Linked DNA regions of Sus scrofa. The protein of the gene in region 1 interacts with the protein of each later gene in a biochemical or structural test. Links are inferred from orthologs where the notes say so. Each region holds a gene or a part of one and is shown in the gene's direction. Other genes may lie near its edges.

What was found.
Region 2: the proteins of STK26 (region 1) and CAB39 are reported together in a solved structure, tested with the Homo sapiens proteins (2 studies listed by IntAct, with this or other methods). The link is inferred for Sus scrofa from reciprocal best matches to the Homo sapiens genes STK26 and CAB39.

Annotation. Positions count from the first base shown.
Region 1 is NC_010461.5:108,230,137-108,235,384, forward strand, and holds part of STK26 (serine/threonine-protein kinase 26), read left to right. Parts: intron 1-846; coding exon 847-955; intron 956-1,046; coding exon 1,047-1,204; intron 1,205-2,347; coding exon 2,348-2,533; intron 2,534-3,666; coding exon 3,667-3,815; intron 3,816-5,011; coding exon 5,012-5,105; intron 5,106-5,248. UniProt on the Homo sapiens protein: Serine/threonine-protein kinase that acts as a mediator of cell growth. Modulates apoptosis. In association with STK24 negatively regulates Golgi reorientation in polarized cell migration upon RHO activation.
Region 2 is NC_010457.5:131,490,281-131,496,252, forward strand, and holds the start of CAB39 (calcium-binding protein 39), read left to right. Parts: upstream 1-2,294; 5' UTR 2,295-2,673; intron 2,674-3,439; exon of another isoform or gene 3,440-3,557; intron 3,558-5,972. UniProt on the Homo sapiens protein: Component of a complex that binds and activates STK11/LKB1. In the complex, required to stabilize the interaction between CAB39/MO25 (CAB39/MO25alpha or CAB39L/MO25beta) and STK11/LKB1.

The DNA of each region.
Region 1 (5,248 bases):
ATATTGTACAGTCCACTGTTTGTGCTTTATGAGGTACTAGAATTTTTAAATAACCATTTATTTTAAAGAGAGATTTTCAGATATTCCATTACAAGTTCTCCTGAAACCTAATCATTGCTTTCCTTGTATTGCAGTTAGAACTATTGGCTTTAGTACAGGGATGGGGAAGGAAAGAGAAATGGGTTATATTTATTTGAAAAACTGGATCCTGCCATGATGTGATCATTTTTTTTTTACAATGCAAGTCTGAATAGTTTATTATATTCCTAGCTAAACCTTAAATCTGCGTCTCAAAAAAGGCTCCATGCTTTACAGTGGTTTTTGAAATTCGTCAATGCTAAGAACTGTGCTACAGCTAACCCATGTGATCAAATTGGGTTGCTGCAGAGATCCTATGGGCTGCCCGATCTAAAAATCAGTTCAGTGTAAATATTGAATGCGTTGTACATGGCAGATGCCAAAATTTTAAGTAGCTGATTTCGTTTTTCCTATCTGAAAAAAAAAGCTAATTCAGTCATTATTAAGCATATTTCTTAGATCTTTGATGTAAATATTTAAGAACCTCAGAATTTAGAGCGATTATACAGGTAATACTGCTTATATTAATCTTACATTACTCTTTCCAGATTAAATCTAATGATTGAAAACCCTTTTAGCCTTTTGATTTGACTTTTCTACTCCTTCCTCGCCTTAAAATTTTTGCTCATTTGTTTAAATATTGACTTAATAAAGAGAACTGCCTCATATATCTAAGCAATCCCCTTCTTTCAAAGATCACATCCAGTTTGAACTTTATTGTTCCAAACTTTGACATGTATATGTGTCTGTGTGTTTTTTCCCTCTAAGCTGCGAGCTGGTCCATTTGATGAGTTCCAGATTGCGACCATGCTAAAAGAAATTTTGAAAGGTCTGGACTACCTGCATTCAGAAAAGAAAATTCACCGAGACATAAAAGGTATACAGAAGCCTAATATGAACCTGAGGAAAAAAAAATAGATGCATTCTGAGGAAGCTGAGGTTCTTTTGGTTTCTTTTTTTCCTCCTAGCTGCCAATGTCTTGCTCTCAGAACAAGGAGATGTCAAACTTGCTGATTTTGGAGTTGCTGGCCAGCTGACAGATACACAAATTAAAAGAAACACCTTTGTGGGAACACCATTTTGGATGGCTCCTGAAGTTATTCAGCAGTCAGCTTATGACTCAAAAGTAAAGTGTTACCTGTCCAAACTGTTTGGTTTTTAATGATAAGTTTTATATAATGCACTATCCACTTTAACAAACTACCCTAACTCTCCTTCCTTTTAAAGTATTTCTAAAGCTAGATTCATGTCAGATGTTGCTGTTACATCATAACTTCCCTTGATGCTGGTAATATTTGGACCCTATTCCCTTCAATGGCCTTCCATCCTACTTGGAATAAAGTCCAGGGTCCTTACAATCACATACGTGGCCCCTGTACAATCTGGCCCTCACCTGCCTCTCCAGCCTCATCTCCTCTCACTGCCCTCTATTTTCCACCTGCTTCAGCCACAGCGGCCTCATTGCTGTTGCATAAACATGGCAAGTACCCTCTGGCCTCAGGACCTTTGCACTTGCCTTTTCCTCCACCTGGAATAACCTTCCCACCAGTTGGGTCTCTGCTTCAACATTACCTACCCAGAATAGTCTTGCCTAGCCATCCTGTGTAAATCTGCAGCCCCTCTGCCCCCTCATTTATTATTCCCTTATCCTGGCTTACTATTTTCTTCACAGAACTTAGCACCATCAGACATCCTATTATTAATTTATTTGTCTGTCTCTTCTACTAGAACATAAATAAGCCCCTTGAGAACAGGGGTTTTTGTCTGTTTAGCCACCACCTGAATCCTCGGTGCCTAGAATGCAATAACAGCACAAAGTAGGGAATTTGACTTTTTTTTAATAAATGAATTCTATGAATAAAAATTTAGTAACATCACATTTCTTGAGACATTTACTATTGTATGACCGTGCGCTTCCACAGACTCTTTTTTTTATTTTTTATTTTTTGGTCTTTTTGTCTTTCTAGGGCCACACCCGTGGCCTATGGAGGTTCCCAGGTTAGAGGTCGAATCGGAGCTGTAGCCGCTGGCCTACGCCCCAGCCACAGCAACGCCAGATCCAAGCCATGTCTGCGATCTACATCTCAGCTCACAGCAACACCGGATCCGTAACCCACTGGGCAAGGCCAGGGATTGAACCCACAACCTCATGGTTCCTAGTCGGATGCGCCAACCGCTGAGCCACGATGGGAACTCCTTCCACAGACTCTTTTGAGGCAATGTGTTGGAATGGAACTTCAGGGTAATGGTCTTTTCTTCCTTACCTTAGGCTGACATTTGGTCCCTGGGAATCACCGCTATTGAACTAGCCAAGGGAGAGCCACCGAACTCTGATATGCATCCAATGAGGGTTCTGTTTCTTATCCCAAAAAACAATCCTCCAACTCTTGTCGGAGACTTTACTAAATCCTTTAAGGAGTTTATTGATGCTTGCCTGAACAAAGATCCATCATTTGTGAGTATATATGCTACTACTACGGTTTTCTACGGTTAGATCCACATGGAGCCACTGTAGGTGGTTCAATGGTAAGGAGTACAGTACGTGTGAAAATTGTCTAAGATCCATCCACAAACCTGATTCCTCCCTCCATGTTGCTAATTCTGTTCCCTTCTTGACAAGATCCATAGTTCCTTCTCTCCTTTTCCTGTATCTTTTTCTCTTTTTTTGTGGTACCCAGCTTCTTCCTTATTCTGTTGATTATTTCCTGGCTTAGGGGGAAAGAAATGTGAGAAGTAAAGTTCATTTTCTAGGATGTTATTATTAAAGTATATGTATGATTATTCCCATTGATTTTTATTCAGCTGTGTGTTTGTTTTCCATGAAACGGTGTTTGCATTTCACGATTTTTTATTTAATGTTTGGAAATGCCAACATAAAGTTGTGTACTTTTCCTAAAGTCTAATGAGCTCTATTCATTTACTTGGCAAATTTGATTACAGTTGTTTTACTGTTTTTAAAATAAAGCTGCCTGATGACTTCTAGAATCTAGAAATATACAAATACTGTCTAAGTTCAAAGTAACTATTTTAAATTGCTAATGAATATTCTGGTACTGATAAAATACTAAAGGGGAAAATATCCCCCACAGCACCTGGTATTTCTATTTAGACACAACATGAATTAAGGTGTGATGGGAAAGGGATTAGTCTGGGGGTCGTAGGATGTGTGCAGATAATAACAAAGAAACAGCCTTGCTAGTTTTCATCCTTTTTTCCAATTTCCAGTAAATGTAACGAAAGTATTTTAAAGCACTATTTGGAAATACTTTAAAAGTTTTACTTGATTATCGAAATCCTGCCATGTGTTTCTCTGCTTTTAAGAAAGCCCTGCCTGCCCGTTTGCTGGTAGGTAGGCCACCTTTTGCCCATTCGGCTGTAACAAGTGGGCAGCAAAGTAGCGAATTTAATTTGGTTGCCTTGAGCCACTTCAGAAATAGAATTACCTAGTGTCCTATGACATTTTAGTTGTCTTCCTGTCTACAGACATGCTTTTATGCCTTTCAGCTTAATAACTGCAATGATTTCTTATCACTCCGTGCAATCATAGAGCCTAGAAATATTCACGCATCCTGCCTCTTTGTTCCTTAGCGTCCTACAGCTAAAGAACTTCTGAAACATAAATTCATCGTAAAAAATTCAAAGAAGACTTCTTATCTGACCGAGCTGATAGATCGATTTAAGAGATGGAAGGCAGAAGGACACAGTGATGATGAATCTGATTCTGAAGGCTCTGATTCGTACGTGCAAATTATTCAATTTTTATGTAGACAGCACATTTTAATATTACAACATCTTTTAACTACAATCCAATATGCTTTCCCAAGCATAAAATATAAACTCTGCTCTAGAGTTTGACTTTAGAAACTGGCCATCTTTTAAAATCACAACCTGTAGAGCACAATGAATTTGGAAACAGATTTTTTTCTTAGAAATGAATTGCTTTAGTTTTAAATGGTCTTGGTCTAACCCCTAGTGGATACTTAAGTATATTACAAAATTTTGGAACAAGATTCAATTTAAGGTGTTTTCTTAGTTTGCCCAAAGTGATACGGAGCTATGTCTTCTCATACTTTGGAGGCAACCTGCAAAATCCCTCTGGAGAACTAACTTTTCCCACTTTTCTTGGCCATGTACCAAAATGGTCAGATTGGTACATACTTATTTATATCTGATTTCTATCCCCTAAAATGTTGCATTGTTTTTTAGCTGCAGCAATTTACATTACCATTTTAGCCTCTAAGTCCATAACTTACTTAATTCAGCCTAAAAAGTCTGCCGGCTACACCAGCATTTATTCCTCCACTGGGTGAACTGATACCGAGGTAACACCAATTTTTTTTAGATAATACCTGCATTTATGAGAAATCTCCCAACTTTTGAAAAGGATAAAAAAAAAAAGATCAGGATAGGGGTTCCCACTGTGGCACAGAGGGATTGGGAACCTGGCACAGTGGGTTAAGCATCCGGCATTGCTAATACCCACGGCTCAAATCTGATACCTGGCCCAGGAAGTGTATGTGCTGTGCAATGGCTTAAAAAGAAAAAAAAAAAATGAGGATGGTTTTTTGTACCCTGTTCTACTCTCTGTTGCCTTAGCTGCCCATGACACTCACCCATGAAGCCTTAAAAAAAAAAAAAAACAAATCACTAAGCCACACTACAGGGGATCCTGATCCAGTCAGTGGGAAGGGGTGGGGGCCGGCCTTTATATTATGGAGTTAGAGGTCTTCACATGTGATTCTGGTACACACTTTAGAGTTGAGAACCACTGCTGCTGTCCCGTAGAAAGTAGTGTCGACTTGAAGCTGAAGATCAAATGATTTTTTAACACATCGGGACAGTTTTCCATTCAGAATCTGACAGCATTGACTTGGTATTTTCACCACCTATACCATTTAGGAACTTATGGAAGTATCTTTGGCCATCTCTTTAGGGAATCCACCACCAGGGAAAATAATACTCATCCCGAATGGAGCTTTACCACCGTGCGAAAGAAGCCTGATCCAAAGAAGCTACAGAACGGGGCAGTATGTATATCCAGATGTTCACCTCCTCTTGTTAGGACTAGATAGTGCGATTATGATGGCCAAACATTGTTAGAATCGAATACCCCTGAATGCCTGTCCGTTAGTTTTGAGCTAATTAAGAAATGATCAGAGAAGTCTTTTAA
Region 2 (5,972 bases), on another chromosome or scaffold:
ACTCTGAGCTGATGACCTCACTTCCTGTTTCCCTGCGCAAAGAGAAGCCCTCAAAGGGAACTGCACCTGTTCTAGCCCCTCATCCATGCAGCTGCTGGCCTTCTGTTAGGGTGAGTGAACTTGACCTTGCTGGTCTCCAAGGTCAGACTCCTCCACTGTGCGCTGCAACCTTCTCTTCTTGCTCCCTCAAAGATAACTCTTCAGAACATGCCCCCACCCCCGCTCTAGTCATCCTCAAATTTTCCCTCACTACTGAATACTCCCATCAGCAAACTAAGGTGGCTCTAACAGCTTCATTCTCAAAAACTGAAATAAAGCAAAAAAAAAAAAAAAAATCTGTTTTGACTCCACATTTCCCTCCAGCTACCACCCCATTTCTCTGCTCCCCTTTACAGCAAAGCGTCAAGAAAAGTTGTTTACACTCATGGTCCCTCTTTCTACAGCCTCATTCTTCCTAGAGGCTACTCTGGTCAAGCTTTCCCACTCACCTCTGCTGAAATAGCTCTTACCAAGGCCACTAGTTGCCTCTATGGCACTGACACCAATGACCAATCACCAGTACTTACCTTCCTTGAACTATGAGCTGCTGTTGGAGGCATGGATCCATCTTCTATCACTCGTCTTCCAGCACATAAAGATCCTCCAGCCACCCTGGCTCCTCTCAGGATCCTTTGCTGGTCCCTTGTCATCAACCTGACTTTTCAATGTTGGGGGCCCTGGCTCATCCTTGCCTTGTCTTTTATCAACACTCTCTCCCTAAATGATCTCATTGAGTCCTGAGATCTTACTTACTCTGAAGACTCCCCCAACTCTATCTCCAGCCCAGACCTCTCCCCCAAACCCCAGACTTCCACAGTGAGCTTCCTACTTGGGTGTCTAACAGGCAGCTTAAGCTTAATATGCCTCCAAGTGTATTTCTGAGCAACTCCTGTATCTGTTTCTGTATGAGTCTTCTTCATTTCACCAAATTTTTATCTTCCAGTTGCTTGAGAAAACAAACAAACCAAAAAACCCCTCAGAGACCAGCAACATCAGGTCAGCTCTACCTTTTAAATGTGTCTAGAACCTGACCACTTCTTTAGGCTTCCACTGCTTTCATCCTGGGTCTTGCCAGTCTTCTTATCACCAGATTATTTCAGAAGACTTCTAACTGATGTCCTGGCTGAAGCCCTCAGGCCGCTCAGGCTGGTCTTCACACCGCAATCAGAGTTATCCTTTTGAAATATTAGACCACATCCTTTCTCTGCTCAAACCCCTCCAAACAGCTCCCCATCTCATTCAGAGTAAAAGCCAAAGTCCTCACTTTAGCCTATAGGGTCTCCCCTCTTCCCTCATCTCCATCCACTCCCCTTTCCCAGGGGTCATGTTTTGCTGCAAGGTATCCCACCTGAGGGGCTTTGTCCTGGCTGTTCCCTCTGCCTTTCCATACACATATCTCACAGCAGGAGCGCTGTAAACAGCAATAGCCTGCACTCTCTCCCCTCCTTAGCCCAATTTCCATAACACTGAAAAGCATCTAATGTCATACATATGTCTGTTTATTTATTTATTGTCTCAGGAGCAGGGTCTCTTTTGTTCACTGCTCCACTATCTAGAAGAGTGCCTGGCACACAGCAGATACTCAAGAACACCTGTTCGATTGCAAATTAAAGAAACAAAAATGTACACGTGTGGCATGTTCATGTACCAGAGTCTGTTGTCAGAGCTTTGCAATGCATTGTCTCGTTCATCCTCATAAACTTATGGTACTGTATGTACTCTTATATTTGTGCATGTGTGTGTGTGTGTGTGAGAGAGAGAGAGAGAGTGGAAGAACATAGGAATGGAGTCAGGCAATAGCCTATGGTGACTGAATGGTGGAGTTGAGGTTTAAATCCAGGCTTTGAATCCTATTAAGAGTGATCATTCTATCACTTTCTACGCTCTCTTGGAGGATGTTAAAATGAGAGTGATCCGTCTCTGGCAAGTATGAAGGAATCAATCTGCACAACTTGGTCCCTGGCCTTTAGCCGAAACGAAGCTTTGTTAAGAGTTCAGGAAGTGGTCGCACAAAGTGGATTTAGGATCCCTCTGGCAAGAGCGCTGAGGCAGAGAAGCGGCTGGGCACCAACACTTCAGTGGCAGGTGAAAGGAGAGGAACTCTTCCCCTCTGCTTCCGCTTTCCCCCAGCCGCCTCCGCCTCAGGCCTCAGCGCGGACTCCTACGCCCGAGTCCGCCCAGCCGCCTGGGGGCGCCCGAGGCTGAAGGGGGCGTTGCGGCGCCGCCCGACGTCGCGCCCTCGGCGGCTGCGCAGTGCGCACGTCAAAGCCGGGCTCGGGCCGGGAGCGGGGAGCGGCGCGGCCTGGGAGAGACTGAGCCTCCGGGAGCCGGGCGAAAGCGAGGGTGAAGGCGGCGCGGGGCCCCGCAGCAGAGCCGTAGCCGCAGCCCAAGAGAGCGAGCGAGCGCAGCAGTGCGGCGGCCGCCGCGGGAGCCCCTGGGCCGCCGTCCGCCCGCGCAGCCGCCGCCGCCGCCGCGGGATCCTGTCGCTGGGAGCAGGAGCGGGCGGAAGACAACGGAGGGGCCGAGCGGCCGAGCCGCGCCGCGGGGACCGAGCGAGCAGCCCGAGGCGTCGGCGGCCGAGGACGGGGACGGCGACGACGCGGAGGCTGAGAGGGAGCCGCCCGGCCCAGCTCCGTGAGTGACCCCCGGCCCGACCCAGCTCGCGGCGTGGACGCCCGCCCGGCTTCCGCCTGCCCTGCCCGGCCCGTCACCGGCCCGGGGCTGCCTCCATTTTCTCGGGTGGTGGAGGCGGCCCCGGCCCGGTATCGGCGGGAGCGGCCCGGTCTGCCCTCTCCGCCCGGCCCGGGCCCCTCGCGGAGCCTACCCCCCTCGTCGTCCTCGCCGGCTCGGCGCCCAGGGGCCTGCAGCCGGGGCTGCGGGGCGCCACGCTCTCCTGCAAGCCCTCCGCAGTTCTTTGGCGGGGCTGGCGGCATGGGGGCGTTCGCGGCCGGAGCCCCGAGGGCAGGCGAGTGCGGGCCGGGCCAACTGTCACTCCCGCCGCGCAAGGGATCCGGCCACCTTGCTCCTGGCCCCTGGTAAACTTCCTGTTATCGGGAGGCAGATAGCATCTCTGTGGTCTGCATTTCGGGAAGATGCCTAACTGTTTTCTGGTTAGGAATTGTGCGGCCAGAGCGTTCCCGAGGTCGGTTGAACCAGCCTGCTCGCTGACTGCCTGCAGGCGCTCTGGTCGGTCCGCGCCGGAGGGATTCGAAGGTGAACCCCGGCTCGCGGTCCCCTCCCCCGAGGAGCTTACATTCTGGCGTGGGTGATAAGGCGAGTACACAAATGACTACGATACCAGGAAGGAGATGATAAGTCCTATGAAAGAACTACAAAATGCTAGAAGGGTACCCGGAGAAGACCGGCCCGATCGATCACTTCCGCCTAGCAGAAATCTGAAGGCTTCCTGGGCGAGGCTGTGCAAAGTGGGGTCTTGAAGGCCAGATGGGATTTGGGAGAGAGGAGGGTTGCAGAAGAGGAGCAGTGTGTTGGAGGAGCAGCAACGCTAGAGGACAAAGGTAAAAAGGCATAGTCGGAAATAGTAGATAATGCAGTTTGTCGTGGGGGGCAGTGGGGGGTAGGCCAAAGAGTTGGGGGGCAGATCCTTGAATGCCGTAGAGGAGCTATTTGAGTGGCATTCTAAGGGTAACTTAGAGCTCATTTCTCAGTGACTCATGGGCCCGGAAATGTAAGCTAGGAGATGTTAAAGGCGCTCTTATGAAAGAAAGGAGAGAAGGAGGCCCAGTACAGAACTGACGTTCTGTGCCTTGAACGTCATGCAGTTTGAGATCGATTTTGACAGCTTTCCGGATATTCAAATAAATCCACGTCCAGGCTAAGCAAAATACCTTTTGTGCAAAGCTTCATTCGATGTTAGGCTCTTAAGAAGTGAGGGAAAGATGTATATAAAATAAGCTCATCTGCACGTAAGGTGTTTCTCTTGGTGCTCTTCACTAAAATGCATCAGAACTTCCAGCGCTCTGTATTAGGTGTCTGCATTTTGGAATTACTGAGCTGAACATCACTTCTTTGAGTTGGCTTTTGGGTAAGGCCATCTACGTTGATGGTTTAAAAAATCAGACTGTCCAACTTTGTATCCCAGAAGATTAGTAACATAGAACTTTTTTTAGGTAAAAATTTCTTTATTAGTTTTTAGTTGTGAAAATTCTTATAGGCGAGCCAGAGGTGAAAATCTGAGGCTTTACTTTGTTTCTTTTTTTTCACCCATATCACTAGCAAATAATTAGCAGCTGTATTTGAAGTTTAGAAATATGATCTATGGAAGCAGCTTAGAACCTTTTTGGTTTTGTAAGAACTTTGTTGTTTGCTCATATGACAAGTGAATGTCAACTTCTCTCAGGTGAAAAGGCTTGTAGAATGCAGGAAGTACATAGAATTTTAAAAAATTATCTTAGCTGTAATCTTACCACTTAGATTTTGTTACTGTTAACATTTTTTCGTATTTCCTTTTCAGTCTTCTTATGTTATTTTTCTCTTAATGAAGTCATCTATAAAGTATATATCTTCTATTAGGCTTTCCTTTTTTTGTCATTAAATATCTCCATATAAAAGGTTTTTAGGGGAGTTCCCTGGTGGTCTAGTGATTAGGATTGGGCACTTTCACCACTGCAGCCCAGGTTCAGTCCCTGGTCTGGGAACTGAGATCCCTCACCATGGCACTGCGGACCATGGCCAGAAATGAATACATAAATCTAAAAAATTTTAATGAATAAATAAAAATTTTTTTAACCAAGTGTAAGGGAAGCTTCTTAAGTGTATTTTTTTCTGACATGTTTGCATTATTTACCTCAGACAAAATGTAGTCATGTTTAATATCTACTGCTGTAGACGGCTTTCTCCAAGCTTTTTCTTGTTTGAAGTATATTTATTGACAGGATCAAGATTTGGATCCTGTTGCTTATTGAATAAAGAAAGATTTTATTACTTGGAGGTGTTGTCATCAGATATGGAAGAGGTCACATATGTGTGCTGTATGAGGGGATGTATTTTTTAAAAGGCACTATAGAAAGGTTGCTTTCATAGCTGCTGTATCTCCCATGCCTGGCGTACCTCCTCTTTGCACCCCACCCCTAAAAATAGTCTTTATACTGGGGCTGTCCATATAGGTTAACTACTGTGATCATGACATCACAGAGATTCAGGATAGATGTATTTAGTTTTTGTATTGGTCTTTCTTTAGTAAAATAGAGAATTTGTCATGAAGTAATGTGCTGCTGTAACAAAAGGGGCTTTTTTCTTTCAATCAATGCAGATCACTTTAGCGGGGTCTTATTTAAACCATTTTTTTCTTTGTGCTTTATAATCTGAAATGTATTAATGAGGTCTATGTTTCTGTTTCTCATGGCATCATATATATATATATATATGTATATGTATATAAAAAATGAGATGTTGAGTTAGACTGTATAAATTTTCATAAGGTTAATATAAAAGAATAGCTAAGAAAGCCCAGTTTAAGTATGGAGCTTGGTTTTATAATGTTATTATTTGATTTTTTTTTTTTTTTTTGCTATTTCTTGGGTCGCTCTTGCGGCATATGGAGGTTCCCAGGCTAGGGGACGAATCGGAGCTGTAGCCACCGGCCTACACCAGAGCCACAGCAACGCAGGATCCGAGCCGCGTCTGCAACCTACACCACAGCTCACGGCAACGCCGGATCATTAACCCACTGAGCAAGGGCAGGGACCGAACCTGCAACCTCATGGTTCCTAGTCGGATTCGTTAACCACTGCGCCACGACGGGAACTCCGATTTTTTATTCGTATATTGCAAATAGATATTCCACAAGGCATCCTTTATTACTTATGAATATTTAGTAAAGTTTTTCTTTTGATCAACTTTTGTAGGTTGTAGATTTCTATTATTACTGCCATATTTTACCAGAGCCTTTTTTTTCAGGAGGGGTTGATCAT